Pelodiscus sinensis: one gene and its partners. The protein of the gene in region 1 binds, or shares a complex with, the protein of each later gene. Links are inferred from orthologs where the notes say so. Each region holds a gene or a part of one and is shown in the gene's direction. Other genes may lie near its edges.

Region 1 (6,862 bases):
CATCACAGTCTTCTGAGAGTGAGAGTGGTTGTATTATTCCAGCATACACTTGACAAACTGCAGTAATGACATATATGTATGGCCTCCTAGAACTGGGGACAAATCTACTTTAAAGGAGAGGAACAAAAGGATAGCAAGGCAGGCATCCTTTTTGTGCCTACCATGCAAATGTTCATCTTGATCTGAACATCCATGTTATCCATTGCACGGTTGTCCGGGAGAGGATGTAGGGTGAAGTGAGTGGAATTTAACAGTGACCATATTTTCTGAATCAAAAATAGGGACACCTTGGCCACACCCCCTGAAACCATTAGCGGGGCCCCTGACCCCTTAGGCCCTACCTACCTGCCACAGGAAATCCCACCCCTGGGATAGTATTTCCAGGGTCAAGATGAATATATCACTGGAAGTAAAGGGTGTCATGTGACCCCTCTAAAGCACTCCTCCCACCATTCTCTACCTAGAGGGATCTATTTGGGCCCCATAGAAGTCTCCCATGCAACTATACTGCAATTGCATAGACCTAGGGTCCCATGATAGTGCAGTGCTAGGGGTCTAACCTCGATTCAAGATGAGATCCAATAAGACCTATTACTTTGCAGTGTAGATGCAGCCCCATTTGACTCAGAACCTGGGAATCATCCAGAACTATCCCACAATTTCATGGGACAATTTCCATAGTCCTCTTAATGGATGTTTCCTACTGGCTCCAATTAACTGGTAATCAGAGGGGGCTGGAGCTAGGAAGGGGGCTGCTCCAGGCTCATAGAGGGCCTGCTGCAGATAGGGGTTACGCTCATCCAAATCAGCCATTGTCTCTGGAGAACTCGGGGGCCCCAAAGGCATGGACTGCACCTCTCTCCATGGGGAGTCCAGCTTGCTATAGACAAGGGCTGCTCCAGAAGGGGCTGGGAACCAGCGGCAGCCCCACTGTGACCTAACATTAACCGGTTAACTGATGAATGGGAATTTACATCCCTAATGAAATGGACTGCAACCGCATTTTTTGAAGTAACTGCAAAATTATGAAGTGTCCTCCATTTCCACAAGCCAGAATGACAATACCGAACCATGACAATTACAGGGTGGGGAAGACTATGTCATGAATCCTCATTACCTCTGCTTGAAAGGTACATTGCCCATTATATCAATGGGGCTAGGCTATTTTATATGTAAAGCTACTGAGAAATGTCTATGCCAATACCATGATGGCAATGCCTATATTACGTAAATAATAGCTAATAATAATTGCCAAATGAGACCACTTCCCAACCTGCTTACAAAGCGCCTGATCCAATTTAATTTTAAGCTAGGATTGGGCCCAAAGCAATCTGTTGATATTACCTAAGAAGATCTGGGTAATATTTAGTCATCCTTCAAAAATATAAGGGACCAATCAGTCAAAGCCCCACTGCCTGGTAGAGGCAAACTGAAGAAATTTGGAGAAACTTTGAATTTACTTCAGACAGCAGCACTTTCTCTCACTAGACATGGGGTCTTTAGCACAGGTTTCACTTTGTGTCAGAATAACTAAGAAATGCGTTCTCAGCTAGCTCCATTGAAGTCTAGGCAATGTGTAGCCCAAAGACAGAACAAATTCCTTTGAAGCTGGAAGTCAAAACATCTCACCTCTTCACAGAGCTCACAAAGGGCTTGTTCACCATGACACAACCTCTCTGGAGAGAGATCATAGAATACTAGGACTGGAAGGGACCTCGAGAGGTCATCGAGTCCAGTCCCCTGCCCTCATGGCAGGACCACGTACTATCTAGACCATCCCTGTTAGACATTTATCTAGCCTACTCTTAAATATCTGCAGAGATGGAGATTCCACAACCTCCCTAGGAAATTTATCCCAGTGTTTCACCACCCTGACAGTTAGGAACTTTTTCCTAACGTCCAACTTGTCCCTCTATGGAGGCACCAAGTATTTTCACCTGGCATATTAACACATGGTTTAAATCATTAACTGCTTGGATGAGGAAAACTCACAAAAAGTCTGTCCATCATCCACACCTGAGTGACTGATTTCACCACTGTGGTAACAGACCCAATCTCTCTGGGGGCTCTTCTGGAGCAACAGGGAGACTGGGGATGTCTCTCGGGAGAGAGGCCAGGGGTACCTCTATTTCAGTCATTTTCAACCTTGTTGAGCCAGGGGGTCCAATGGCCAATGTAAACCTTTCCATAGACCACCAGTTGCTAATGGAATCTCACTGTTAACTACAGGCAGTCCCTGGGTTACGTACAAGATAGGGACTGTAGGTTTGTTCTTAAGTTGAATTTGTATGTAAGTCGGAACTGGTACATATTGTAGGGGAAACTCTAACCAAACATTTCCCCAGAGCTCAGTTTTATTCTCCCACACCTCACTCTCCTCAGTCCTTTATTCTCAAGCTGAAGTGCTATCAGACCATTTGTTGTTTTTTAAGTTTAGATTATTTATGGCCGGCATGGGGAACATTTTTTGGGTGAGGGGCCATTGAGCCACAGAAAAGTCAGTTGGGGACCACAGACATGAGAAGCAAAAGAACTTCAAAAACCCCGAACCCTCACCAACGTGACCCCCAACTGAGACACCACATTCCTCCAGCGTTCCAGCCCCAACTTTTCTGGAAGATTTTATGGAGCCCCCTTAGTTTCTGGGTTGGGAACAAAAATCAGGGGTTCAGTATGTGAGACAGGGCCACCAGAGAATGGGATAGCGATGGGGTGCAGGATCTGGGAGAGAGGTGGGGGGAAGAAGAGGGAGAGGTTGCAAGGTGTGGGTGGCAGGTAGGGTGCCGCAACAGGCTGGGAGTAGAGTATCTGGCTAGGGGGAGAGGACAGTGTGTGGTGAAGGAGGAGGGTGCAGGAGGAACGGTGGACGCAGGAGTGGATTTGGGCCTATCAGGGTTTTTTTCTGAAAAAGCTATGCAAATTGCACGCCACAATTTGAGTAGCTTTTTCCAATTGTTTTTCCACCATTTGGCCCCGTCTAGCCAAGCCCAGCCATGAGGTGGGGTGCTGCTCTCTGCCCCTCCCCTTCCACCGGGCCATGGGGGGTGCTCTTCTTCACACACCCCCAGCAGAGATGCTCTTCACCGCACTGCTTCCCCCCTTTCCTCCCCTTGTCTGTCCCAGCTGGCAGCCCAGCCACTTACTCGGCTTCCCAGGCTCCTACGGGCACAACCTCCTGCTTCTTCTATTGGCTGGATCCTCATTCACAGGGAAGTCCCAGAAGCATCCCTGACTCCTCCTTAGGGAGGGCTAGGAGGGAGGAAAAGAAGCAGAGAGGGACTTTTTTCCGGGACAAATCTGGGGGGTGTCGGGACACCTGGAAAAAACATTAAAACTTGGGACAGTCCCGGATTTTGGGGGCCATAGGGTCACTATGCTGAGCGTTGCAAATCTGCAGATCTCTGCGACTAATTTTTGGCCGATGGGTGCGGGGGACAGTCTTTGTATCTAGAACCCTGCAAATGCGCAGATCCCGGGGGGTATCCGCACCCCGGATCGAAGGCAGCGGGGCCTGGTGTCTGCGGTACCAATGCTGCAGCGGGGCTCTAGGTGCAGGCCCTGCAAGCATCCTCCAGTGTCTTAGTCTAGTCCAAGGCCGGTGTGTGTCTATTGCAGAACATTTACTCTCAGGGTGGGGGGGGGGGGCATGGCATGAGTTATTCCTGCAACCAGCCGCCTTCAGCACGTGGCTTCTCTGTCTGGCACCCCTGCCTGGCCTGCTCTGCGCAGCCGCAGCTCCAGGCTGGGGGCCTCGCCCGCAGTGGGACAAGAGACAGAGAGAGGCGGGAGCAGTAGAGGCGGGACGGCAGTCCTCCCAGCGTGCCAGAGCGGCCGGGGAAGCTTCCCGGCGTTCCGCGGGGGCAGCCGCGCTTCCGGTCTGGAGCGGAAGCCGGGCAGCTGCTGCGGCGGGCGCGTGGGGGCCGCGGCGGGTAACGGTTTCTCCTCGTCTCTCTCTCTCTCCTGCCGGGTGGCTGAGGCGCGCTCGCGGCCATGGCGTATCGCGGGCAGGGCCAGAAGGTGCAGAAGGTGATGGTGCAGCCCATCGTATCCTGCCGCGGGGGCGGGGCCGGGCTGGCGGAGTCGGGGGGGGCCGGGAGCCTGAGGGGGGGGGGTTGAGCGGGCTGGTGCGGGGGGGGGGGGCGAGATGAGTGGGGGGGGCTTCCGGGGGAGAATGAGGGGTCTGAGGAGCCCGGTGGGGGGGGGGGTTGAGCGGGCTGGCCCGGGGGGGGGGGGCGAGACGAGGGGGGAGAATGAGGCGATGAGCAGGGTGCTCGCAGCGGGGCTGGGCGCTGGAGCCGGGGGGGGGGGGGCTGGGCGCTGGAGCCGGGGGGGGGGCTGCCATGCAGCTCCCAGCCCCTCACCCAGTATCACGTGCTGGGAATCGAGGTCTCCTCTCAGCACGCGCCGGGGATAGGCCCTGGGTGTGCGGCGGGGGGGGGGGGGGGCACTTCCCGGGTCTCAGAGCCCATCCCCGGCGCTGTTGGGTTTAACTCCCGGCTGGAAGGCGCCTGTAGGTTTCGCTGGCTGCTGGCGAGCTGCAGGGATTTATCCCTAGAGGTCGTTCTGTCACCTCTGGCCTTAGGGAGCACTGGGAAGGGTAGAACAGGATAGAAGGGGGACAGGTGGGTTAAATGCCAACTCGGCATCGCCCCCCCGCCTCCAGAAATTGTTAATTTTTATTTGCCTAAAAGTAAAGCACTTTTAAAATGGAAGCTTTGGCGATAACCAGATTAGTTGTTACAGTGACCCATGTTGCAGTCGGTGCTGCTTCTGTGCTTTTCCTTAAGTGCTGTATTACAGAACCTCATCTTCAGATACCTGCAGAACGTAAGTCATACTGTCTAATTCTCATTGCATGCCTGTTCATTGTCTGATTGTAAATATGACCCAAAGCATGTATTTAGCCACTATGGTGCCACTGAGGTTTGTATCTGATGCATCATCTTTTTGGGATGGGGGAAGTGCATCAGATTTCCAAGCAGATTTGTAGCATTTGCTGTTGACCTCTTTTGAGATTAGTGGCCTCTCCACATGACATTAACCCAGTAGTGCTGATGTGTGGAGAAATTGCAGTCAGGAAAAAATGTAAATTAAACTTGCTTTTTCCAACACTGTGAGGTTTCTGTAATATTTAGCTTTTATTTGGAAGCGATAGCGTATAGCATTTTTTATGCTGTTTGGTTTATATTTGTCTACTGTAGGCTTCTTTATACAAGCATTGCTCTCTGATTCATGAAGTGATCATTTTCTTCCATTTCTAGCTAACAATTATACTGATAATATTTAACATATTAGCCCTTAAGTGTTTCTGTGACAGTCATTGCCGTAGTTTCTTAAGATAGATATTTTTTCCAGAGACTGTTGAAGCAACTGTGTGTAATTTGGTGACGTTGTAACCCAGCTAAATAGAAGATGAAGATTATTGGCACATGGCATAATAGTGTGTGTGTGTTTGTGGTGGGGAACAAACACTGAATGATTATAATGAATGAATGTGTTAACTGTTAAAGCCATAAATCCTGCTGTATTGTGTTGAAAGTTGGCCATGTCATACCTATCTGGAAAAATAAGTTCCTACACACCAGTGTGCTATACCACCATAAGGGCTGGGGAGATGTTTTCCACTATCAAGTAAAAAAATAGAAATATTCTTTTCTGCGCTGAGTTAAATGATTTGTATTAGAATCTGATCAGGATGCAAGGGTTTTGCATCTTTTGAGGTTTTTTACATCTGCATGAAGTAAACAACTTTTGACTTGTATCTAGTTTGCAACTTGAGCAATTCCCAGAGCCCCCTTAAACTGCTGAAGATTTAGTTTGTCATTATCACTGGTTGTATTTTTTGGTGTTATGCTGCTTTGTGGATGGAGCAAAGAGCTTTTGCTTACTAGGCTGTCAGTGCTCTCATTAAGGTGAAATAGCAGATTCCATGATTTGGACCTTGTACCCAAATCTATCAGAAGAAAATGCATTTCTCTCTAGATTGACCTATTTTCTGATAAGCCTTGGGTAGAAAAATTACTGTAGTGTCCTAACGTATGTCAGGTCAGTATTAATTTGGTCCCTAAAAGCTACCTTGTGATAGCCCACTGAGTTACATGTTAACTTCTGATGTAGGTTTAGAGCCGTGGTCCCCAACAGGGTGCCCGCGGACGTCATGGCGCCCACGGTGGCATTTACGTGTGCCTGCGCCAGCGTTTTAAAACTGCTCACATTCACCCCTGCTTTTAGAGCAGGATCGGCAGCCTGAGACCCACGAGGGAGCCCGACATGGCGCTTTGGAGGCTTGAGCCCTGCACCCACTGCAACAGGCAGCCCGCGTAGGCGCTTCAGTATCCAGAGCAAGCCCCACGCTCGTCGGGTTCTTCCCCCCGCCCCATGCAAAACAGTCGTAGCGGGGCCCTTTGTGGAGCAGGAGCTGTGAGCCGGCAGGGGAGGGTCCCTCATGGCTGCTTCCCCCCCCCCCCCCCCCGCACAAGCCCATTGTCCGGATATGGACAATGGCAGCTGCGGGAACCTACCAATCCCCAAGCACATGGCCAGGAAGGTCCTGTGGGAGAAACAGGAGAGCAGCGTGTCTCGCTGGTAAGTGTCCGGTCCCCCAGCTACTCCCACTCTGATATCTTCACCCAGACTCTCCTCCCAGACCCTGCACCCCAATCCCCTGCCCTGAGGCACAATCCAAACTCCTGGCTTTGCCCCGCCCCCCCCCCCCCCCCCCCCCCCCCCCCCCCAGTAAAATGTCTGGTATTTTCAGTTTCTCAGCTGGAAAGCCACTTGGGACATTCTTCCCCTGCCATGTGGAAGGGAGTGTGAAATTTAAAGGTGCCATGGTTTTTTTGGGGGGGAGGGGGGGCGCTTT
Region 2 (7,512 bases), on another chromosome or scaffold:
CCACCGTGAACCAGGGCCCCGTGGCGCTGCGGGGCAGGGGCACTGGCGTCAGCCGGCCGGGCGGTGGGGCAGGGCGGGGCCTCTGCTCCGCCCGCTCCTCCTCCTCCCCTAGGCAGAGCTCTGCACAGCAGCGCACCCCCAGGCCCCGGGGGCGGCGGGCGAGGGGGGGGCTGGGCGAGGCAGGAAGCCGGCAGGAGCAGCGGCAGGGGGCGTCCCGGTGGGTGTAGTGCAGGATGCAGCTCCCGTCCACCACCACCACCACGTTCACTGCGGGGCACAGAGGGCAGAGTTAAGGGGGCCCCCCCAGTGCCCGGGGCAGGGGCGGCAGGGCCGAGCGTGGCGCCCCCAGCACCTCCCGGGCACCCAGGGCAGGTGGCAGAGCCCTCCGGTTGGCAGGGGGTGGGGAGGGGGGTGCCCCCAGTGCCCCCCGCTTACCTCCAGCCGCCGGTGCCACTGCTGCCGGGATCAGGGGTTCAGGGGCCCTGTGGGGGCTCTGGTGGGCACTGCAGCTGGGGGACGGAGAATAGGCGGGGTGCATATTTGGGGGGAGGTCCCTTTCTCGGGCAGCTTTCTCCCCCCTAGGATCCCCCATGTTCCCCCCTTCCCCTGGGATCTCTCCCCTATATCCCCCTCCCCCCTAGGCTCTCCTCCTAGGATACTTCCCCTCCCCCCCATAGTCTCCCCCTTTCCCCCAGAGCCCCCACCTCCTGGATCCCCCCAATTGCTCCCCGGTACCTCCCCAACCAAAGGCAGCCCCTTAGCCCCAGCTCATCCCTGAGCATCCCACCTCCTCAGCCCCCCAGAAGTGCCAGTCCCTCCAATCCAAGGGGGGGGGAGTCACCTGATGCCACAGGCTTCGCTTTGCTCCGCCCCCCAGTGCTGGAGTTGGGGCCCAGCCCCGCCCATGGTGCAGCCGGGGGCCTCGCCCCTGGGACCCCAAGTGGGGGGTTCTGCTTGCTGAGGAGTGGATCCCGAGACCCCTGAGTGCGGCCTGCCTCAGCCCTGTGAGGGGAGAGAACAGGAGAGTTCAAACCTCCCCCGATGCAGCCATGTCTGGGGTGGGGCAGGAAGGTAACAGCCACATGGAACCGGCCTGCAGCATGGCACTGCCCAGCGCCCTGCCCGGCCCTGCTCTGCCCCCCAAGCATGGGACCCCAGTGCCCAGGCCTGACTGCCCACCAAAGCCCCCTGCCCGGCCCCTCCGCCCCACGTGCGCCTCTTCTCTCCTGCCTGCCTAGAGTCACGAGGGTGGCGGAGAGGCACTTGGGGCCCGGAGGGCGGCCGTGCCCCACAACACCGGCCTGGGGGGAATCACTCCTCCCTCTGCCCGGGCTCCCACCCCCTCTCTTGGATCAGCCCAGCTGTGGGCCCGAGGGCTGGCTCCCTTGGCTCCAGAACTCGCTGGGCTCTAGAAGGGATCTCGCCCGCCCACCCACTCTGGAACCTACAGGAGAGCTCGCTCCGGGGGCGCAGGCAGTGACTGAGATCTGGCGCTGCCCAGGTCTCTCTAGAACCCCTTGGGGAGCCAGGGCTGGTCTCCATCGCGCTGGGGGTCTAGGACATGGCTCTGGGCCCCAGCGCCCCTGGTGACTGGCCATCCTCCCCACACTGGCCCCGGGAGCGCTGGATGAACTCCATCAGCCAACTGGGGGGCTGATTAGGAGGCTCGGCTGTGATGGACCCGGGGCAGGGGGCAGGTTCTGCGAAAGCAGGAAGTGGGGGTAGCCCCCTTGCCCGAGGGGAGGGAGAAGGAGCCTGGCAGGAACGGGTCCGGGGAGGGAGCAGTAAGGTGGGGAGATGTGGGGGACAGACCCACCGTGGCAGGGGGTACTGCTATGGGCAGGGCAACAGGCAGAAGAGAGGCTGACAGATGCACAAACTCCCCCGCCGCAGAAGGGGAACCCCTGGGGCAACCAGGCGGGGGGCCAACTGAGTCATGAAGGGACGGCTGCAGCTTCTGGAGCGAGAGGAAGGGCCAGGGGCCAGGAAAACGGTCTCAGAGGGAATCTGGAAGGAACTCTATTGTTCAAGAACCCAGGTGGGATCCAGAAAAACCTCTGCTGCTCTAGAACCCACCAGGGATCTCAGCAAATTCCTTTGATCTAGGCCCCACTGGAGACCTGGGATGCTCTCGGCCATTCTAGAGCCCATGGAGGGTTTGGAAAGGCCTCTGCCACTCAAGAACCTGCAAGGGGGGGGGCTCTAGAAAAGCCATTGGTATTCCAGAAGCCACTAGGGATCTGGGAAAAGCCCTGTTCTAGGAGCCGCTGGGTATCTAGAAAAGCCTCCCTCCCTCAAGAACCCAACGGGCACCTGGGTGATCTAGAACCCATTGTGCTGGGGGGTAATCTAGAAATGTCACCGCCTTGGACTCTTCCAGGTAGGGGTGGGGTGATGTGGGGGGGGTGCCTCCCAGGCTCTGCGAGGCCGGTGACGTTACCCAGTTGCTGCTGGGGGGAGGAGGGGAACTGGGGTGCACCTGCCCTCTGTTTCTAGTCCGCAAGCAACATGGCATATTTTGAGGAACACGTGAGGCCGGGAAAAGGTCGGTTCCCCCCCTCTCCCATGGGTGTGTGGCGAGCAGGCCAGCAAAAGGGGCCGGGAGGGAGAGGACCGTGGCCGTCATCGCTTGGCTCCATTGCCGCGTGCCTCAGTTTCCCTCTGGGCTTCACCCGGGGAAGAGGTGTCCGTCCGCTCCCCGGCCGCCGCAGGAGGCATGGGGTAGGGGTGTCATCTCACTGCCTGGATGGGGGAAGGGAGAACCAGGTTTGTTGGACCCAAAGCGACCGAGGGGCCGAGCAAGATGAGAGCCTCCCCCTCCCCCCCGCAACCATCCGCCCTCCCCCCGCCCCCCGCAGGAAAGCCTGGCTGGCACAGCTGGGAAATGGGGCTTTTGGGGGACTCTGGCACCCAGGGAATGGTGAGATCGGGAGGGGCCAGGCCCGGCCCGCCCTGTGCCTGTGTCGCTCCTCAAGGTCACATGAGCGGGGAGGGGGAGTAGCTGGTGGGGGGAGGGGGCTTTACTTCCCACACGCCAGAGCCCTCCCAGGAGGAGCTGAACGTGCCGCTGCCCCTTCCAGCCTGTCCCAAGGCCACCCCCAGAGCTGTCGGGTTCCTCCCCCAGCCCCTTGTCCATCACAAAATCAACCTCTAGGCTCCCCACCCGCCCCTCGCCAGCGCTGATCTCCCCTCCTAGGCCCTCAGGACGCCCCCCCTCCCCACGCCATCCCCCGGCTCCGGCAGCCAGCACAATCCAATTAACAGCTGATCCCGCCCCGTCTCTGCTGGCTGGGGGGGGCTCCCTTACCTTGGGGTGGCCCCGGCATCTAGCGCTGCTCCGGCCCCCCCCTTCCGTAGTGGTACCCGATGCTGCTGGGGTTAGCAACGGGGATCTCCAAGGCAACGGGATTGATGCCCCGGTAACCCTCCACCTCCTCCTCCTTCGCTAGACTCTGGGGGAGGGGGAGAAGGGGAAGATGGACAGACGAGCCAGCCAATCGGAGACCACAGTGGCTAATCTCCCCCTGGGATATGGAACACGGGGCCTGACCCCTCCAGGGGGTGCCGGTTCCAATCCAGCCCCGGGGCGGCTAGTAATGAATAAGCAGAGTCATTTCTCGATACAGCCTTCGTTAAGGAGAGTGCATGGGCATGGGGGAGGCGTTCATTCGCCAGCCCCTAAAGCGAGGCCTGGTAGAAACCCGGCTCTTCCCCAGGCCACACAAGGTACAGGGCTAAGGAGCAGGGTGGGCTGGGAACCAGGACTCCTGGGTTCTCTCCCTAGCTCGGGGGAGGGGGTTAGAGGCCTTAACCAAAGCACATCTGTTCAGCATCAAGCTTGAAAGTCACTGGAGCTGGCATGGGGTCACAGGGTGCCAGGAGTCACTAATCTCCCACCCCCAAGAGGAGGGGGCTGATTCAGGACCCCCCCAAATATCAACAGGAGACCGGCCAGACGGGGTCAGAGCAAAGGTCCCTCCAGCCCAGTGTCCTGTCGGCCGACAGCGGCCAGCGCCAGGGGCCCCAGAGGGAGGGCTCACAACTGGGAACCGTCCCGTGATCCCTCCCCTGCAGCCCCTGTTCCCAGCCTTGGAGAAACAGGCCAGGGGCACCCTCCCGCCCGGCCTGGCCTGCAGCCATCCATGGACCCACCCTGCCCGGATGTCTCCAGCTCTTTGTGACCCCTCCTGCGGCAGGGAGTTCCCCAGGTTGGCTGTGCGCTGCGTTTAGAGATGCTCGCTGCACGGAGCGACCCCCCCCGTCCGAACGTCACGGCAGCTGCTGGGCCTGGGGGGCTGCTCCCCTGCGGCAGCAACCAGACGATTTGGGGGTTTTAAGGACGCAGAAAATTCCCCGGTGGGGGGATCTCGGGGTGGGGGCAGAGGGTGGGGGAGGGGAGTGGGGGGGGCAGCCCCGCCCCGCACTACATCCCCCATGATGCTACGCGTGGGGGCGGGTCTATAACCCCCATGAGGCCCGGCGGGCCAGCTTGGAACTACAGCTCCCGCGAGGCCTTGCGCGCGGCGGTGACTACAACTCCCGTGAAGCCTTGCGCGGCGCGCGGCGGCAAGATGGCGTCGGACGGCGGCCCCCCGGCCCCGCGGCCGGTCTCGTTCGGATTCACGCGCACGGTCGCGCGCAGGCGGCTCGCGGGGGAGGGCGGGGCCGACCCGGAGCCCGATTTCATCAGCGCCGTGGAGGGGAGCGAGCTGCGCAGGTGAGAGCAGTGCGCATGCGCGGGAGTCAGCGCCCCCCGGGGGGGCGGGGCTGCTCGGCCTGCGCACGTGAGCAAGATCGACCAGGTGCCTGGGGGAGGGGCCATGTGGGCTGGAGAGGGCGTGTCTGGGGGAGGGACTATAGGGCTGGAGGGGGCGTGTCCGGGGGAGGGACTATAGGGCTGGAGGGGGCGTGTCCGGGGGAGGGACTATAGGGCTGGAGGGGGCGTGTCCGGGGGAGGGGCTATATGGGCTGGAGGGGGCGTGTCCGGGGGAGGGGCTACATGGGTTGGAGGGGGCGTGTCCGGGGAGGGGCTATATGGGCTGGAGGGGGCGTGTCCGGGGGAGGGGCTACATGGGTTGGAGGGGGCGTGTCCGGGGAGGGGCTATATGGGCTGGAGGGGGCGTGTCCTGGGGAGGGGCCATGGGTGATTGGTGTGAGGCAGGGTCTGTATCCAGTGGGTGAGAAGGAAGAGGCTCAGGGTAGTGGGTGGGGCCTCTGTGGGGCAGGCCCTTGGGATGGGGCAGTGGGCGGAGCCAGGGTAGCGGAGGGGGGGGGAATGGGAGTGGTGCACTCTGGGTATCCCACGGCAACGGGATGGTTTCTCTCTGGCTCTCAGCCTCCGGCCAGTCCCGCCCTCCAAGCCGCTCGTCATCCCCCTGATCCAGCGCAACCAATGGAAGAAGCCGGCGACGCCCCCCGTGGGGGCCCCAGACCCGCCGGCCGATGATGGGGTGGAGTCCCAGGCCGTGAGGGAGCTGATCGAGGGTGAGCGAGGCAGGGACCCCAGGAGTCCCCCCCCCGCACACACTAGTTCCCGCCCCCTGAGCGGGGACCCCGGCGTCCGGCTCCTGACGGTGCCTGTGCTTTGCAGAGAGCCGGCAGTCCCAGGAGCGGTGGGAGAGTGGCTCCAAGGCCGACCCCAAGCTGGCCATCCCCCTGCTCATGCAGAACCGCGTCCCCGAGGGGTACGAGGATGGGGACCGGGTGGACGTGAGCCTGCGGCCGGAATCGGTAAGAGCCCTCCGACGAGCCCACGGCTTCCCCTGGAGCCCCAGCGCCAGCCCCCTCTTGCGGCTCCGAGCTACGTGTCCCAATGCCTGTGGCGGGTGGTTCCGCAGGTTAACGACTCTCCTGCCCTTCTTGCCCTGCAGTCGACGGAGGCGGATTATGAGGTGGTGCCGGTGGAGGCCTATGGCGTTGCCATGCTGCGGGGCATGGGCTGGAAAGCGGGCGAGGGCATCGGACGCACCTTCAAGCAGTGAGTGACCTGGGGGGCAGAGGGATGGGGGGCGGGGCAGGGAGATTTTGGAAAGGCTGTGGACCAGGTTACTGTAGGGGCTGGTAGGTTGGAGGAGGGTGATGGGGGAAGGAGTCCTAGCTCAGCAGCTGGGGGGGTGATATGCTTTCAGAGGCGGGTCCCCAAATAACCCTTCCCCCCTTTAGGGACGTGAAGCCGCTGGAGTGCCAGCTGCGCCCCAAGGGGCTGGGGCTGGGAGCTGACCGCTCGGCCATCCAGGACCTGCAGCCGGCTGGCCGCCCTCAGCCCCCCAAGCCGGGCGAGGAGGAGCCGCTGGGGCTGGTGGCAGGGGGCGCTGTGCTGATCATGGCTGGGCCCCACAGAGACCTCTATGGGAAGGTGAGTGCCCCCCCATTCCTTGGCCCCCGAGCCAGCCTGTCCCTGCCCTGGGGCCGGGTGGGAGCCGATGCCCCCTGGAAGCAGAAGGCTCACCCCTCGTTCTCTTTTCTCTCCCTGTCCCCAGATCGAGGGCGTAGACCCCGATAACGCCCGGGTGATGGTGAAACTGGCCATCGGGGATAAAACGGTCACCATCAGTCAGCACGTCCTGCGGCCCGTGACCCAGAAGGAGTACGAGAAGCTAGCCAAGGATCTGAGTGAGTCACATGACTGCTCCCAGCCACACCCCCCCCGCCGCCCGCCTCCCCCGTCCCCTCCTCACTCCCCTTTTCTCTCCAATCCCCTTCACAGGCCGCTTAAGCCAAGCCCAGAAGGAAAAAGAGGAAAAGCAGAGAAATGAGCCTACTGAGGCTCTGGCCACCACGGTCCCCCAGGACACAGGGGAAAAGAAGGACAGAAAACGGAAACAGGCAGCCTCGGAGAGGTAGAGACCTGGGACGGTGGGGAACAGCCACGGATAATGCTGCCTGGGCACGGCTTGCTTGGTGCCGAGATGCAGCCACCTCTGGGGCAGGGCAGGTGGGGAACAGCCACATAGAACACTGCCTGGGCACGGCTTGCTTGGTGCCGAGATGCAGCCGCCTCTGGGGCAGGGCAGGTGGGGAACAGCCACATAGAACACTGCCTGGGCACGGCTTGCTTGGTGCCGAGATGCAGCCGCCTCTGGGGCAGGGCAGGTGGGGAACAGCCACGTAGAACACTGCCTGGGCACGGCTTGCTTGGTGCCGAGATGCAGCCGCCTCTGGGGCAGGGCAGGTGGGGAACAGCCACATGGAATGCGGCCACCTCTGAGGTGGGTGCTGTCTCACGGCCCAGAGGAGGATTCCCCAAGCTGGCGTGTGGCCCGGACACCCTGGTGCCAGTGCAACTCAAGTGCCTTTGATGAAACACTGTGCCCCTTCGCCAAGCACGGTGCCCCCAGCCCCCCCCCCCCCCCCCCGCTTCTCGCAGCACGGTGCCCCCCCCAGCACTGCTCCTGACTGCCTGTTCTCCTCAGCGCCCCCCAGGCTGGGAAGCAGAGCAAAGGCAGCAGCTTATCGTCCTCCCGCACCCCCCACTGGCTGCGGCGAGACCTGCGGGTTCGCTTCGTGGACAAG
Region 3 (7,053 bases), on another chromosome or scaffold:
TGGGGCGGAGCCACTTGAGACGGAGGCGGAGCCAGTCAGTATTTGGAGGGTGGGGCAAATTGCTATTTTGCAGGGGTGGGAGGGCCATTTGTAAGTAGGCTGGAGCTAGTTACAGGTGGGGCCATTTTTGTATACTTGAGGCAAGCCTAGTTGTGTTGGGGGGGAACGGGGCAGTATGTGGTTCGAGGGTGGGAGCCAGAGCCAGCCAGGATTTGGGGAGGAGACTGGAGGTGGGGGACGACGAAGTGATGGAGGCAGAGGGCGGGCCAAAGGGGTGACTTCCTGTTTTAGCCATCCCACTTCCTCTTTAGGTGGAGCAATTTCACCTCCTTTCATGGGGGCGGGAGGAGGTTGTGCCATGTGACTGTGGACTTGGATGAGTGTGTGGGGACGAGCGTGAGCGTGGAGGGAATGGGGAATTCAGTGTGTGGGGAGGGCACGGAGTGAGTGGGGGCGGGCCTGGATGGATGGATGAATGAGCCCCTCCTCCGTGAGTTTAGTTCATTCTCGTTATGACTATTTTTTTTCCTTTGCACTGGGGGAAGCAGTCGCGTCCTCGCCCAGGAACGAGGGGGCGAGTGAACGAACAAATGCGGCACGCTCCTCCCCCCGCCCAGAGCAGCCCTGTGGTCACGGGGGCGAGACGTCCAGGGGCAATAACCCCCCCTCCTGTTTAACCCTCTCAGCAGGAGGCGTCTGTGCCCTGGCGGGGGGAGGGTGCCGCAGCCGGCCAGTTCCAATAGCGTTTTTTTATATGTGTTATAATAATAATAAAACGGAGAGATGTTGCACGTGAAGCCGCCTCCCTATCATCTGTGGCCCACGTGGTCTGGGAGGGGTGTGGGAGCCATCAGGACCTGGTGCCCCTATACCTTTTGGAGGTGATCTAGATCCTGCTGTGAGGGCGGGGGACTGGACTCGATAACCTCTCGAGGTCCCTTCCAGTTCTATGATTCTGTGAACGGGGGGGGGGTGCTACCGGGACCTCGCTCCCAGATGCCACAGGAGGGGAGGATGGGTGCTGTCAGGACCTAGCTCCCATGTACCCCTTGAGGGTGAGGGGTGGATGCTGCCGGGACCTGGCTCCCATGTACCCCTTGGAGATGAGGGTTTGCCCTGCCAGATCCTGTGCGCCCCCTGGGGGTTGCAGCTCTGCCCTGTAGGCACCTGAGCCCCCATTCACTCTCTCCCGCCCCCTAGTGGTGAGGCATTGACAAGGCGGGATCCCCCATTCCCGCCTCTCCCGCTCACCCCCAACACTCAGACCTCCACACTGGGGAAGACCGTGGCTCTTTCCTGCCCCCTGGTGGCGTGGGTGCTGCACTGCCTCCTAGCCCACGTTGCCCCAGCCTCCGAGCTCCGCACTACGTTGCTGCAGCCCCACCGAGGCTGAAATCCCTGCTAGTGTGTCAGAAGGAGAAAATCCCACATGTCCAGGCAACCTTCAGCTGCCTCTGCATCAATGCGCCCTTGATTTTTTTTCCAGCCCTGTGCGGAGTAAATTTTGTTCTATGCACCAAGGCATGTGCAGATGTGCACCACCAGTAGAAACACATGCTGCCGGCTGAGGGCACTCTGCTATTCTGGGCGGCATTTGACTCGCTCTTGGGTGGCCACCCAAGTGCCCAGCTTATAGGGAACGCTGCTTTGCAGCTCCCCCCCCCCCCCATAGAAGAACAGTGCTTGAGACAGGACTACAATGAGAATGAAGCTTTGCTGCATGATGCCGTTAAGCTAGAGACAATGACATTACGTGGAGGAAGTCAACTCATATGCCTGGAAATACAGATAAGAGCTGGCTCTGTAAAAACGATGATGATCCTACTTTTGAAGGCAACTCAGACTCTGGTCAATATGGCAGGAAGCCAGCGGAGGTTGTCTGCTGGGACATACGGTAATGTGCCTACTGAAAAATGTGACTCATGGGTCTAGAAGCAGAGTTGACTCATGCCTGGAAATAAGGTAAACAATCAGATGGGACGCTGATTTGTCTGTAAATATGATAAAAAACGTAGTCGGGAAGTTGACTCAAATGCTAGTAAATACAGAACCTGTGAACTGGGGAGGCAGCTGAATAGGTTTGTAACGGTGCTAAAAGAGAGAGGCCGGAAACTGACTCATACCCAGTTAACTATGGTAAAAATCTGATGGGCAGACACGCAGCTAGTTACAGAAAGGAACCAAATTAGGGCAGCAGCTCCTAAGTGTGAAAACATTGGCTTGTGCAAGGGAAGTTGGGGTTAGAGAAGGGACAGCCAGATAGCTATCATGACAGTGAGCATGAGGACAACTGCAGCTCCTATACCAATAAAAACGAGGAGCAGGACCATGGTAGCTGCTCATGTGCAGGTTATAGGGTGCACAGACTGGAGCTGTGGCTCAGACGTGAGCAGTAATGGTGAAGGGCCGAGCTGAGGGGGCAGCTTGTGCATGGGTCATTATGGTACAGGTCCCAATAGTATTTGAGGCTTGTACACTAGTAATTATGGTAGAGGATTGACTTGGAAGGGAGGACCCACACAGTGACCACTACACTGGTGCAGAGCCCGTTCTGGATGTATCCTGTCCTCTATTAATTGCAGTTCAGATCCATGTTAGAGCCCATGCATGGTTAATTATGGTACAGACCTGAATTGGTTCTGCAGCTTGTATTACAGTAATTACGGTGCAGGCCAACATTACACAAGATCGCTGATAATGGCACATTCCTAATGTGTGGATTACACCTGCACGTACAGTAAAGAACCTGACTTCTCCATGTGCTGCCTCCCCACCAAACTCCTGTGAGGATCAGCCGGACTGGGCTGTGCTTCTGCCTGCAGCTGGTAGGATGGTAACTGAACTGGATCGATTCATGGGGAATTGGTCCATCAATGGCTATTAGCCAGGATGGGCAGGGGTGGTGTCCTGAGCCTGTTTGCCAGAAGCTGGGAATGGGTGACAGAGAAGGGATCACTTGACGATTCCCTGTTCTGTTCACTCCCCCCTGGGGCACCTGGCATTAGCCACTGTCGGCAGACAGGACACTGGGCTAGATGGACCTTTGGTCTGACCCAGCCTGGCCGTTCTTATATTCTTACAGTAAAAATCCCACCCCAGCGTGGGGTGTGTGTATATCCATAATGACAGCATGAGGTGAAAACTGGAGGGGGCATGAACTCCTGTAAGTACGGTAAATGGATAGGTGTGTGGCGGGATGCCATTAGGGTAGCATGTCTGGTTGGATGGAGGGGAGGCTCATGTTATGGTCATTATGGAAGCCAGTCTGGCTGTATGATGAGCAATCCTGTAATTACGGTAAAAGGGGCCCGGCCCGAGAAGGAGAGACTCATATTGCTATCTTAAGGGATCTGTTTGGAGAAGGTGCAGAATTACAGAGTCAGCTGGAGAAGGGGAGGCTCGTAATCCTGTAATTACGGTAGGCTATGTGGCCGGAGAAGGGGCAACTAATTTTCTCACAATTACGGTAAGGTGTCCGCTGAGATGGAGAGGCTCATATTGCTATATTTATGGTAAGAAGCCCGGCTGGAGATGGAAAACTCCTACTCCCGTCATTACGGTAGAGGGGCCTGCAGAAGGGGAGGCTCATATTGTTATAATTACGGTAAGAACTCCTATTCCTGTCATTACGGTAGAGGGGCCTGCAGAAGGGGAGGCTCATATTGTTATAATTACGGTAAGAACTCCTATTCCTGTCATTACGGTAGAGGGGCCTGCAGAAGGGGAGGCTCATATTGTTATAATTACGGTAAGAACTCCTACTCCCGTCATTACGGTAGAGGCAGAAGGGGAGGCTCATATTGTTATAATTACGGTAAGAACTCCTATTCCTGTCATTACGGTAGAGGGGCCTGCAGAAGGGGAGGCTCATATTGTTATAATTACGGTAAGAACTCCTATTCCTGTCATTATGGTAGAGGGGCCTGCAGAAGGGGAGGCTCATATTGTTATAATTACGGTAAGAACGCCGGCTGGAGATGGAGAGACTCCTATTCCTGTCATTACGGTAGAGGGGCCTGCAGAAGGGGAGGCTCATATTGTTATAATTACGGTAAGAACGCCGGCTGGAGATGGAGAGACTCCTATTCCTGTCATTACGGTAAAGAGCCAGCTGGAGAGGCGCTTATTGCTTTAATTACGGTAAAAAGTCTGGCTGGAGGCGGGGCCGCTCATATTCCAGACACTACGGTAAGAAGTCGCCCGCAAAAGTGGAGGCGCGTATCCCTGTCCTTACGACCAGAGAGTTTTGCTCGCGGTGGATATTCCGTTCATTACGGTAGCGGGCGAAGGCGGGGGCGAGCGTGGGTTGTTGAAGTCTGACGCCGCTCATAGACCGGTCATTACGGTACAGGGCGTTACGCCGGCGCGCTATGACGATGGCGGAAGCCGTTGGCCCGGGCGGTCACGTGGCCCGGAAGCGGGGTACGGTGGCCCACGGGGGGGTCCGAAGCGGGGGCAGGATGGCGGCGCTGGAGCGCTGGGTGTCGGGCGAGCTGCACGCGCTGCTGGGGCTGAGCGAGCGGCACGTGGTCGCGTTCCTGCTCGGCCTGGCCCGGCGCAGCCGCAGTGCCGACGAGCTGCTGAGCCGCCTGGAGGAGACCGAGACGCTGCGCGTGAGCGAGCCGGCCGTGCGCGCCTTCGCCCGGCGCCTCTGGGAGCAGGTGGGCGGGGCCACACCGCGGGGGGCGGGGCCATTAGAACGGAGGGGCGGGGCCACAGTGGGGGAGGGGCCATTGGGCTGAGGGGGTCACACTGGAGGGGGAGGGGCTAGTGGGGGAGGGGGGTCACAGGAGGGGGAGGGGCTAGTGGGGCTGAGGGGGGGTCACACTGGAGGGGGAGGGGCTAGTGGGGCTGAGGGGGGGTCACACAGGAGGGGGAGGGGCTAGTGGGGGTCACACAGGAGGGGGAGGGGCTAGTGGGGCTGAAGGGGGGTCACACTGGAGGGGGAGGGGCTAGTGGGGCTGAGGGGGGGTCACACAGGAGGGGGAGGGGCTAGTGGGGCTGAGGGGGGGTCACACTGGAGGGGGAGGGGCTAGTGGGGCTGAGGGGGGGTCACACAGGAGGGGGAGGGGCTAGTGGGGGTCACACAGGAGGGGGAGGGGCTAGTGGGGCTGAAGGGGGGTCACACTGGAGGGGGAGGGGCTAGTGGGGCTGAGGGGGGGTCACACAGGAGGGGGAGGGGCTAGTGGGGCTGAGGGGGGGTCACACAGGAGGGGGAGGGGCTAGTGGGGGTCACACAGGAGGGGGAGGGGCTAGTGGGGCTAAGGGGGGTCACACAGGAGGGGGTGGGGCTAGTGGGGGTCACACAGGAGGGGGAGGGGCTAGTGGGGCTAAGGGGGGGTCACACAGGAGGGGGTGGGGCTAGTGGGGGGTCACACAGGAGGGGGAGGGGCTAGTGGGGCTGAGGGGGTCACACAGGAGGGGGAGGGGCTAGTGGGGGTCACACAGGAGGGGGAGGGGCTAGTGGGGGTCACACAGGAGGGGGTGGGGCTAGTGGGGGTCACACAGGAGGGGGAGGGGCTAGTGGGGCTGAGGGGGGTCACACAGGAGGGGGTGGGGGTCACACAGGAGGGGGAGGGGCTAGTGGGGCTGAGGGGGGTCACACAGGAGGGGGAGGGGCTAGTGGGGCTAAGGGGGGGTCACACAGGAGGGGGAGGGGCTAGTGGGGCTGAGGGGGGGTCACAGGAGGGGGAGGGGCTAGTGGGGCTGAGGGGGGTCACACAGGAGGGGGTGGGGCTAGTGGGGGTCACACAGGAGGGGGAGGGGCTAGTGGGGCTGAAGGGGGGTCACACAGGAGGGAGGGGTCACTGGAGGGGGAGGGGCCAGGGGGCGGGGGGGGTCACATAGGAGGGGGAGGGGCTAGTGGGGCTGGGGGGGGTCACTGGAGGGGAAGGGGCCAGTGGGGTGGGGAGGGTCACACAGGAGGGGGAGGAGCTAGTAGGGATGAGGAGGGGTCACACTGGAGGGGCTGAGTAGGGCCAGAGGGCGGAGTGTCAGGCAAGGGGCTAAGGGCCTGGGGAGAGGAGGAGACATGCTGGGGGGCAGGAGAGGGAGTGGGGCTGAAAGGGAAGGGCCTGTGAACAAAGGGAGCAGGAGCAGTAGGGATGGAGAAGGCGCCAAGGGGGGAGTCCTGTGAGGTTAGCGGGCGAGGCCTATAGGGGATGGGGCAGGGCTAGCCCTAGCAGTGTCCTGTGGAGGTTGGGGGGGGGAGGCAGGGGAGGAGGATTTAGGGAGAGGTTACCATGGCAGGAACTACATGGGAAGGAGAAAGCTTAGCAGAATGGGAGGAGCCTTTGGGGAGGGGGAGGAGCCAACTGTAGAGGCGGGACCTGTGTGCTAAGTGGGAGGAGCTAAAGGAGAAAGCAGAAGGGGGGGGGCAGGGAGCGAGCACTGTCTGTGCAGTATTTCTAACCCCACCCCTGTCTCTGCCCTGCTCTTAGGTCCCACGTTCAGCTCCGCAGGAGCGTCCGGCCCGGGTGGCCGAGCGGGAGGCCCTCGCCCTGCAGCAGAAGAACCGCTCGTACCAGCTGCTGGAGGACAGCGAGGAGGAGGAGAGAGATGCGGGGGGGGCCCCAGGCTCTAAGCACTGCCCCGAGGGGAGAAAACACAAGAAGCGGCGCAAACACCTGCGCCGGAAGCAGGAGGAGGCGTCAGAGGAGGAGAACGAGGCAGAGCGGGAGCCGTGAGTGTCGCCTCCGCTGGGGGATCTTAGAGGGTGGGGCGAGGGAGAGTCCCCTGCGCTGGGGCTCCCCGGGGCTGGCTAGTGCCCTGACTGTGGTCTCTGGCCCTTCCCCGGATGCAGGGAGCCGGCCCCGGCCCTGGAGGGAAAGGACTCGGAGGACGAATGGGACCGCAGCGAGCGGGAACGCCTGCAGGACCTGGAGGAGCGCGACGCCTTTGCCGAACGGGTCAAGCGCAAGGACAAGGAGCGGACCAGGAATATCCTGGAGCGGTCGGACAAGAAGGTCAGAGCCTGCCCTGCGACCAGCACCCATCCCCAACCCTATCCTTGCTGCTGGATCCCTCCTTGGTGCCACCCCACACCTCTTGCTT
Region 4 (7,569 bases), on another chromosome or scaffold:
CTTCCTTCATGGCTCATGAAGCCGTACACAGGCAGCCTGGAGAGCAGTAAGGAGTAGTTCAACTACAGGCTGAGCAAATGCAGAAAAGTGACAGAATGTGGTTTTGAACATTTGAAGGAAACGTTTCACAATTTACTGACTGACAGCAAAAGCAACATTCCCATTGATGTAGCAACTTTCTGTGTAGTCCACAATATCTGTGAAAGTAAAGGGGGGACATTTTTCCGGTGGGATGGGAGGGTTGAGGCAGATCTCATTCCCCTGGTTTCTGGCTGTTCATAATTAAAGGTTAGGTGAATACATAAAGGAGCAGTGAGAATCATAGAGGCTTTGAAAGCTAGTTTTGTGAATGACAAGACAGCAACATGAGTCATGTATGTTGCTCTTAATAAGGTACCCACTGAATTAAGTGTTGGCCTGTAAACCATCCCCCCATGTCAAATTTAGCATTACTCCTCTTGCCAAAGAGGAGTTCAGAAATCATCTTTAACAGCCTTTAAAGTCAACAGAATGGGGTTGGTGTTTAGAAAATAGACCTAACATAGCTAAAAAAAAAATTAAGGAGATATACCTCTCATATAGAACTGGAAGGGACCTTGAAAAGTCATTGAGTCCAGTCCCCTGCCTTCACAGCAGGACCACATACCCTCCCTAGGTTCGACCTAAACTCATAGTGTAGACCAAGCCTAAACTTTTTCTATCAAAGCTGCCCCGATTTACACTGAATTGCTTTAAAAATTAGTTTAAAGAACTAATATAAACCTATGTAGGCATCTGTTTAAGACCGTTTTTATAAAATTTAGCTCACACCTGTAATTTTACAAGTAATACAAGTAAATACAATATAAATAAATAATACAGGTGTCAGCTAAACAGAAACAACCAGGTTTAAAATCATTTAACAGTGCTGACACCAGTGACACCAGTTCAAGTGAATTGGTTAGAATCACATCTATGTTTGATTTAAATGTATGCAGTGCAACTTTGTATTTAGATCAGGGCATTGTACTCTGGCACAGAGTTATCTTCTGTTCTTTGCTAGATGTTCCTCCCATTACTGGCTTCACTCCACTTTTCCTTTCATAAATAATTTGTCTTGATGTACATAAGCTGTTTAGTCTTTTCATTCTCTTTCCCTGCACTCTGCCCTATTCCTCTTTCCTTCCTTATTTCATTTTCTGTTCTCCAACATATCGGCTATGTCTACATTGGCACCCTTTTCCAGAAAAGGGATGCTAATGAGACAAGTCGGAATTGCAAATGCTGCGAGGGATTTAAATATCCCCCACGACATTTGCATGAACATGGCTGCCGCTTTTTTCCGGCTCGGGGCTTTGCTGGAGAAAAGCGCCAGTCTAGACGGGATCTTTCAGAAAATAAAGCCTTTTCCGGAAGATCCCTTATTCCTCTTAAAATCAGGAATAAGGGATCTTCCGGAAAAGGCTTTATTTTCCGAAAGATCCCGTCTAGACTGGCGCTTTTCTCCGGCAAAGCCCCGAGCCGGAAAAAAGCGGCAGCCATGTTCATGCAAATGCCGCGGGGGATATTTAAATCCCCCGCGGCATTTGCAATTCCGACTTGTCTCATTAGCATCCCTTTTCCGGAAAAGGGTGCCAACGTAGACACAGCCATCCTGTATGTTTTCTCTCTCTTTTCTCTTCCCAAGGTTCTCAGTCTCATGATATATTTAAAAACTTTATTCCTACACAGACTTTTACCCACTGCAGTGATAGGTATCCCATGTAATTTCTTTTAACATTGTTTTGCAAGTCAGCAAGTCTAATGATTTACATGTCAAAAGCAGAAACGCGGGTGGTGGGAACCCACAGCGGAGACTGAAGCAGTCGACTCTGATAGAGGCAGCAAAAGGGGTGGGGGGAAAGCAACTAGTCAAGTTGACTATCCGATAAACATTTGCTTATTGGATACTCGACTAGTCACTTACATCCCTACCCTGCACTCTAGTCCCCTTCCCTGGGTCACTACTGCCTTCTTCACCCAAACTCCCTCCCAGACTCCATTCTCCCTCATGCACCCCAATCCTTTACCCCAAGCTCCCTTCTGCACCCAACCTCCATCTTAGACCCCACATCTCCTCCATCAAGAACATGGAAGAGTGCAGCCCTCGACCACTTTCCAAAATTTTGGAGTGGTACCCCATCAAAAATTATTGCCCACCCCTGGAATAGGGGATATAAAAAAATATTATTATAAGCAGGTCTCGACAAATAATGTAATCTACTCGCCTATGGCGAGTAGATTACAACTCGGAAGAGCCGGCGCAGAGCGATCTGCGCATGCGCAGAACGGCATGGCTGGCGAGTGGGGCTTGCCACCACTTGGCAAGCCCTGATTATAAGGAAATACAAAAATAATGAGTGAAAGTCTTATTTGGGGATATTTAGGCCCTTCCTAGAGTGCAAAAAAAAAAATTCCTGCTTTAAAACACATTGTTTTTTATTACAGAAAGAGTTAAACAAATACCATAATGTGTATTTACATCTGTAATTTCAAGGGAGAGTGGTCCCTTCATATTTCAATCAACAATACAAAGCCTGCTGTGAATACCACACAAAGCAATAACAAATGGGATGCACTTAGGGATCAGTCATTTTATGCTTAAAATTAAGCTCTTCAATCACTCTTAAGGATGATTTATCAGACAAAAGCTGTAGCTAAAGTCTTATTTGGTAGTGTGCAACACTATCATGGCAGAAACAACAGATTACAAAAATCACTTTAGATAAGATATAAAATGTTACATCAGAGAGATCCAGATTTCTAGACACTTCTCACCTTAAGTGACAATAAACTCAGGTATATTGTCACCAGTCAATTATTTTAGCACTTATAGCACCATTCATCCATGGATCTCAAAATGCTTCATACAAGCGGGCAAGCACTGTTACCCCACTTTACAGCTAGGAAAGCTGAGGCACAGAGGGTGTTTCTTGATTAGGCAGCGTGGTCAAGTTCAGATCACGCTTGGTTAATACAAGTTAGCAAAACCTGACCTTCTTTCCCCTAGAATAGATGCAGGATACCATCTTCTAGGCCGCAATTTGATTAGCTAAATATGTCTAAACTAGGAAAAGGGTCTAATTTAAGTTAGGCTCGGCTAACATATTAGCTAAGTTCAATCTAAACTCAACTGCTTTTCCCAGTGAAGACAACCCCAGAGAAGCTGAATGACAGTGACTCGTCCAACATCACACAATGCAATTCACTGGCAGAGCTAGGACTTGAACTTATCCCAGACTGCCAGAGCCCTGATCTGACTAGTAGATCACAATACCAACACGGGGATTTCTGAAGCCATCACTCATGCATATCAAGCAAGTTGGGGGAGGAAACTCCAGCCAATATCCCTGCCAAGCCGATGGAAGCTTCACTCAGTCTGTGCGCACTGTGTGCCATGTGCAAGAGTTGTATATATTCTTCACTTCCCAACACAGCTCCCCATCCCTACTGAAGGGGTGAGCTGGGCTCCCTGGAGCCCTCTCAGCCTAGGAGGAAGCTTTCCTCTCTGCCAGCTCAGCCAGCTGCTTCTGGCGCCTCTGCAACACCTCTTGACGCATCTTCTCATGGTGCTCGTGCTCCCTGGCACGGAGCTCCTCCACCTCAGGGAAGAAGCGGTGCCTGAGACAGAGAAAGACAGTAACTGCAGTGCACTGAGCCCCCCTGAAACTTCCCAGTTCCTCTTACTCACCTGAGTCCCCCACCAAAGCCCTGCCAGCCATGTCCCCCAATGTTCCCCCAAGACCTTCTGGCCAGGTTCCCACAAGATCTTCCAACCAAGGGCCCCCAGAACCTCCCCCACCCAGATGAGCCCCCCCAAGGTCTGCCGGCCAAGGCCGCCAGGGTCCCCCCCCCAGATGAGCCCCCCAAGCTCTGCCGGCCAAGGCCCCCAGTGTCCCCCCACTCAGATGAGCCCCCCCAGCCAAAGTCCCCAGGGTCCCCCCCCAGATGAGCCCCCCCCAAGCTCTGCCGGCCAAGACCCCTAGTGTCCCCCCCCAGATGAGCCCCCCCAAGCTCTGCCGGCCAAGACCCCTAGTGTGTCCCCCCAGATGAGCCCCCCCAAGCTCTGCCAGCCAAGACCCCTAGTGTCCCCCCCAGATGAACCCCCCCAAGCTCTGCCGGCCAAGACCCCTAGTGTCCCCCCCCAGATGAGCCCCCCCAAGCTCTGCCGGCCAAGACCCCTAGTGTCCCCCCCAGATGAACCCCCCCAAGCTCTGCCGGCCAAGACCCCTAGTGTCCCCCCCCCAGATGAGCCCCCCAAGCTCTGCCGGCCAAGACCCCTAGTGTCCCCCCCCCAGATGAGCCCCCCAAGCTCTGCCGGCCAAGGCCTCCAGGGTCCCCCCCCAGCTGAGCCCTACCACCCAAAGCCCCCCCCACCTGTGCACGAAGGCGGCGGCCAGCGCACACAGGATGCTGCCGAAGAGGAGGGGCTTCGCCAGCCGCTTCCGCGCCGACATACGACCCATAGCGGGACACAAACAGGACCCCCCCCCCCGCCACCCTCCTCATACGTCACGTCCGGCCGCTCTCACCATTTCCGCTCTTCTTTCGAGTGGCCCCCCGACGTTCCGCCCCTCTCTCCCCGCGTGCGCAGGCGCGGGGAGGGGCTGGCGAGGCGCTGCGCGCGAGGCCAGAGGGAGGCTGGAGCGGCCCGGGACGGGACAGCGCTGGAGACGGTGCGAGCTTGGCGCTGGGTTGCAGAGCAGGGTCGCCCTGCAGCCCCGGGCGCGCGGTGCAGGGTGGCTACAGCTTGTGCTTTTCAGTGGGAGAGCTCGTGGTTTTGGTGCAGTTGTGGAATGGCTGGGTTTGGCAATAGTGCGCCGCGGCCCCTTGCAAGCCGCCCATTCACCAAAGGTGGCAATGATGGAAGCTACAGTGTAAAGTGAGCATTGGGGGTGCGTCTAGACTGACAAGCTTTTGCTGCAAAATCTTGCCAGCTGTCTACACTGGCCCCTTGAATTTGCACAAGAGCACGGACTTTGTAATGGATAAAATCAGTGCTTCTTGCACAAATTCTTCCACGCTCCTGCTCGGGAAAAAGCCCTCTTGTATAAGAATACTTGCGCAAGAGGAACAGTGTAGACAGGGAAGAACTGTTTTGCGCAAAAAAGCCCCGATGGCTAAAATGGCGATCGGGGCTTTCTTGCGCAAAATCACATCTTGAGTGGCCATGGATGCTTTTGCGCAAAAGCATCCTTGCCAAACTAGACGTGCTTTTGCGGAAATACTTTTAACGGAAAAGTTTTTCCGTTAAAAGTATTTCCGCAAAATCATGCCAGTCTAGACGTAGCCTGGGGGATTACCAGCGTAAAAGGGTTAAAAGACTACAGTAAAAACTCATGGCTAGCCTATGCTACAGGCTGTCCTAAGTCCAAGATACATTCCAAAAAACTAAACTTATAGCGAAACAACTTAAGCAATTCCTGGTGACTGACTTCCATTTGCACAAATTGGTTGTTGTTTTTTTGGGGAGGGGGAGGGTGCGTGACTTAAGAGCGGGGAATGGGAGGACTCTTAATGCATCAGTTCCTACAAGAGTCAATGACTTTAGTGTGGAACAGATATATGCTGGGGCGACTTATAGTGGAGACTGATGTAATGGAGCTGCAACAATGCTTGATGAAACATGGGACAATTGCCAATGATTCTCAGTGCAAATAAGATAAACCCAGTTGTAGTGAGCATGTTTCTGATTCAAACCTTGACAGGGCTGGTTATACTACCACTTTCAGTCCCCTCAGTGAATGTGAAGGGAGAGAAAAGAAAACCAATTGCCTAGTCTATACTTCTCAGAATGTTTTTATTAACCTTGCAGTGAAACTGAGGTCATACAGGACACTATTTTGAACAAAACTTAATTTTCCTCTCTTTAGCACCATGTCTCAAAAGCAGCAGGATCCACTGGACCTGGGGCGGCTTGAATACTTGCAAGCACTGGTCACAGAGTTCCAAGTAACAGAGTCTCCAGGTGAACTTATAAGCCTTTTTTTATTATTATTAAAGTATATTCCAAATGTCAGGATCATAGCTGGCTCATCAGTTATTGGGGGGGGGGGGGGAGAGAGGTTTTCTTCAGAAATGGGACAGCCCAGCCCACCTCAGCTGCCTCATTCTTCACCTAAATGCATATATATTGCAGAAGCCAAGGAGCAAGTACTGGCTAATCTAGCCAACTTCGCCTATGATCCCAAGAACTACGAATATCTCCGACAGCTTCAAGTCCTTGACCTGTTTCTCGATATGCTCACAGAGGACAATGAGACCCTCGTGGAGTTTGCAGTTGGTAAGGAGTAGCCTTAAAACTTTGTAAAATGAACAACAGTAGTTGAAAGCACTAGTTGGATTTTGATGGATCAGGGGATGTCAGCCTTGCTGCTTTGATTCTGTAGTCCAACTGAGCCAGTTGTAACTAGCTAATTGGGCGCCTAAGGCAAGACCGTCCTCAGCGAGGGCGGGGGTACTGATATGGCGCAAGGCATGAGCGAAGACCGCGTAGTAGCTGTCTTTTCTGTGCCGCCTCAGCCATGCACCCGAGGCAAGTGCCTCACTCACCTCGCCCTTGTTATGGCCCTGAATTGAACTTGGGGGAGAGGCTCAACTCCATGACAAACCATCTATGGCAGATGTTGCTCAAACTGCTTAATGCCCTCAGATACTACAGCGATGATAGGAGTATAAAAATCTATACAGAACAGCTGAAACAGGTGTGAGATCAGGATAGGAAAGCTTCCTAATTGTTAGGGTGGTTAAGCACTGGAATAAATTGCCTAGGGAGGGATCTCCCTCATTAGAGAGATTTAAGAGCAGTTGTGACAGACGTCTCTCAGGGATGATCTAGATCAGTATTTTCCCAATGGTGTTCCGCGGAACCCCGGGGTTCTGCAAAGTGAAAATAAGGGTTCCATGAGAAAATTCCATTACAATTATATTTTATGATTTAAAAAAAATTTAAGCATTTATGAATTTTATTGAAAACAATTTTCATTTGTGTTTGCCACGATAAGTGTCCTTGTGTAATGTCATTACGCTGTGCACACAGTCAGACAGTGGTGTGATCGCCTGTTATATACCACCGTAAATACCCATACTCACTCATTCTCAATGTGTTTTGTTTTTAAATATGTGCAATTAAACTAAATGTTGATCTCATGAACTTGTTTAGCATTTTTTTATTATCCTAACTTATTTGTGGTCTACTTTTTCAGCTCCATATATAAAAGATTGTTATTAGGGGTTCTGTAAAATTCTTTCGAGTTTAAAAGGGTACCATGGCCAAATAAAACTGGGAAACATTGATCTAGATGGTGCTTGCTCCTGCTAGGAAGACAGAGGGACTGGACTTGACCTCTCAAGGTCCCTTCCAGTTCTAGTATTCAATAGGACTTGAGGTGAATTATTTCATATTAAGGCAACATTCCCCTTCACTCTACTAACATGCTGCAGTGCTGAAAATTAAACTGTGTAAGATTAGATAAATCTCTAAATAGTGAAACACAAAGTGTAGCTTAATGAGAGTTTTTAACCCACGTCCTTATTGTAATGAGACAACTA

Evidence for each region.
Region 2: SNRPE (region 1) and GPKOW share a complex: the UniProt entries of both Homo sapiens proteins name them as parts of the minor spliceosome. The link is inferred for Pelodiscus sinensis from reciprocal best matches to the Homo sapiens genes SNRPE and GPKOW.
Region 3: SNRPE (region 1) and DHX16 share a complex: the UniProt entries of both Homo sapiens proteins name them as parts of the minor spliceosome. The link is inferred for Pelodiscus sinensis from reciprocal best matches to the Homo sapiens genes SNRPE and DHX16.
Region 4: SNRPE (region 1) and ARMC7 share a complex: the UniProt entries of both Homo sapiens proteins name them as parts of the minor spliceosome. The link is inferred for Pelodiscus sinensis from reciprocal best matches to the Homo sapiens genes SNRPE and ARMC7.

The regions. Positions count from the first base shown.
Region 1 is NC_134737.1:8,527,984-8,534,845, reverse strand, and holds the start of SNRPE (small nuclear ribonucleoprotein E), read left to right. Parts: upstream 1-3,861; 5' UTR 3,862-3,990; coding exon 3,991-4,044; intron 4,045-4,800; coding exon 4,801-4,827; intron 4,828-6,862. UniProt on the Homo sapiens protein: Plays a role in pre-mRNA splicing as a core component of the spliceosomal U1, U2, U4 and U5 small nuclear ribonucleoproteins (snRNPs), the building blocks of the spliceosome.
Region 2 is NW_027465877.1:101,390-108,901, forward strand, and holds the start of GPKOW (G-patch domain and KOW motifs-containing protein), read left to right. Parts: upstream 1-4,498; 5' UTR 4,499-4,571; coding exon 4,572-4,717; intron 4,718-5,335; coding exon 5,336-5,484; intron 5,485-5,590; coding exon 5,591-5,730; intron 5,731-5,870; coding exon 5,871-5,977; intron 5,978-6,162; coding exon 6,163-6,355; intron 6,356-6,479; coding exon 6,480-6,612; intron 6,613-6,706; coding exon 6,707-6,839; intron 6,840-7,412; coding exon 7,413-7,512. Other genes in the region: membrane-associated guanylate kinase, WW and PDZ domain-containing protein 1-like, read right to left, coding at 1-267, 436-509, 842-906. UniProt on the Homo sapiens protein: RNA-binding protein involved in pre-mRNA splicing. As a component of the minor spliceosome, involved in the splicing of U12-type introns in pre-mRNAs.
Region 3 is NC_134742.1:11,515,129-11,522,181, reverse strand, and holds the start of DHX16 (pre-mRNA-splicing factor ATP-dependent RNA helicase DHX16), read left to right. Parts: upstream 1-4,035; 5' UTR 4,036-4,370; coding exon 4,371-4,661; intron 4,662-6,008; exon of another isoform or gene 6,009-6,104; coding exon of another isoform or gene 6,105-6,137; intron 6,138-6,440; coding exon 6,441-6,682; intron 6,683-6,802; coding exon 6,803-6,965; intron 6,966-7,053. UniProt on the Homo sapiens protein: Required for pre-mRNA splicing as a component of the spliceosome. Contributes to pre-mRNA splicing after spliceosome formation and prior to the first transesterification reaction.
Region 4 is NC_134730.1:12,490,096-12,497,664, reverse strand, and holds the start of ARMC7 (armadillo repeat-containing protein 7), read left to right. Parts: upstream 1-4,566; 5' UTR 4,567-4,694; intron 4,695-5,891; 5' UTR 5,892-5,895; coding exon 5,896-5,986; intron 5,987-6,157; coding exon 6,158-6,301; intron 6,302-7,569. UniProt on the Homo sapiens protein: As a component of the minor spliceosome, involved in the splicing of U12-type introns in pre-mRNAs.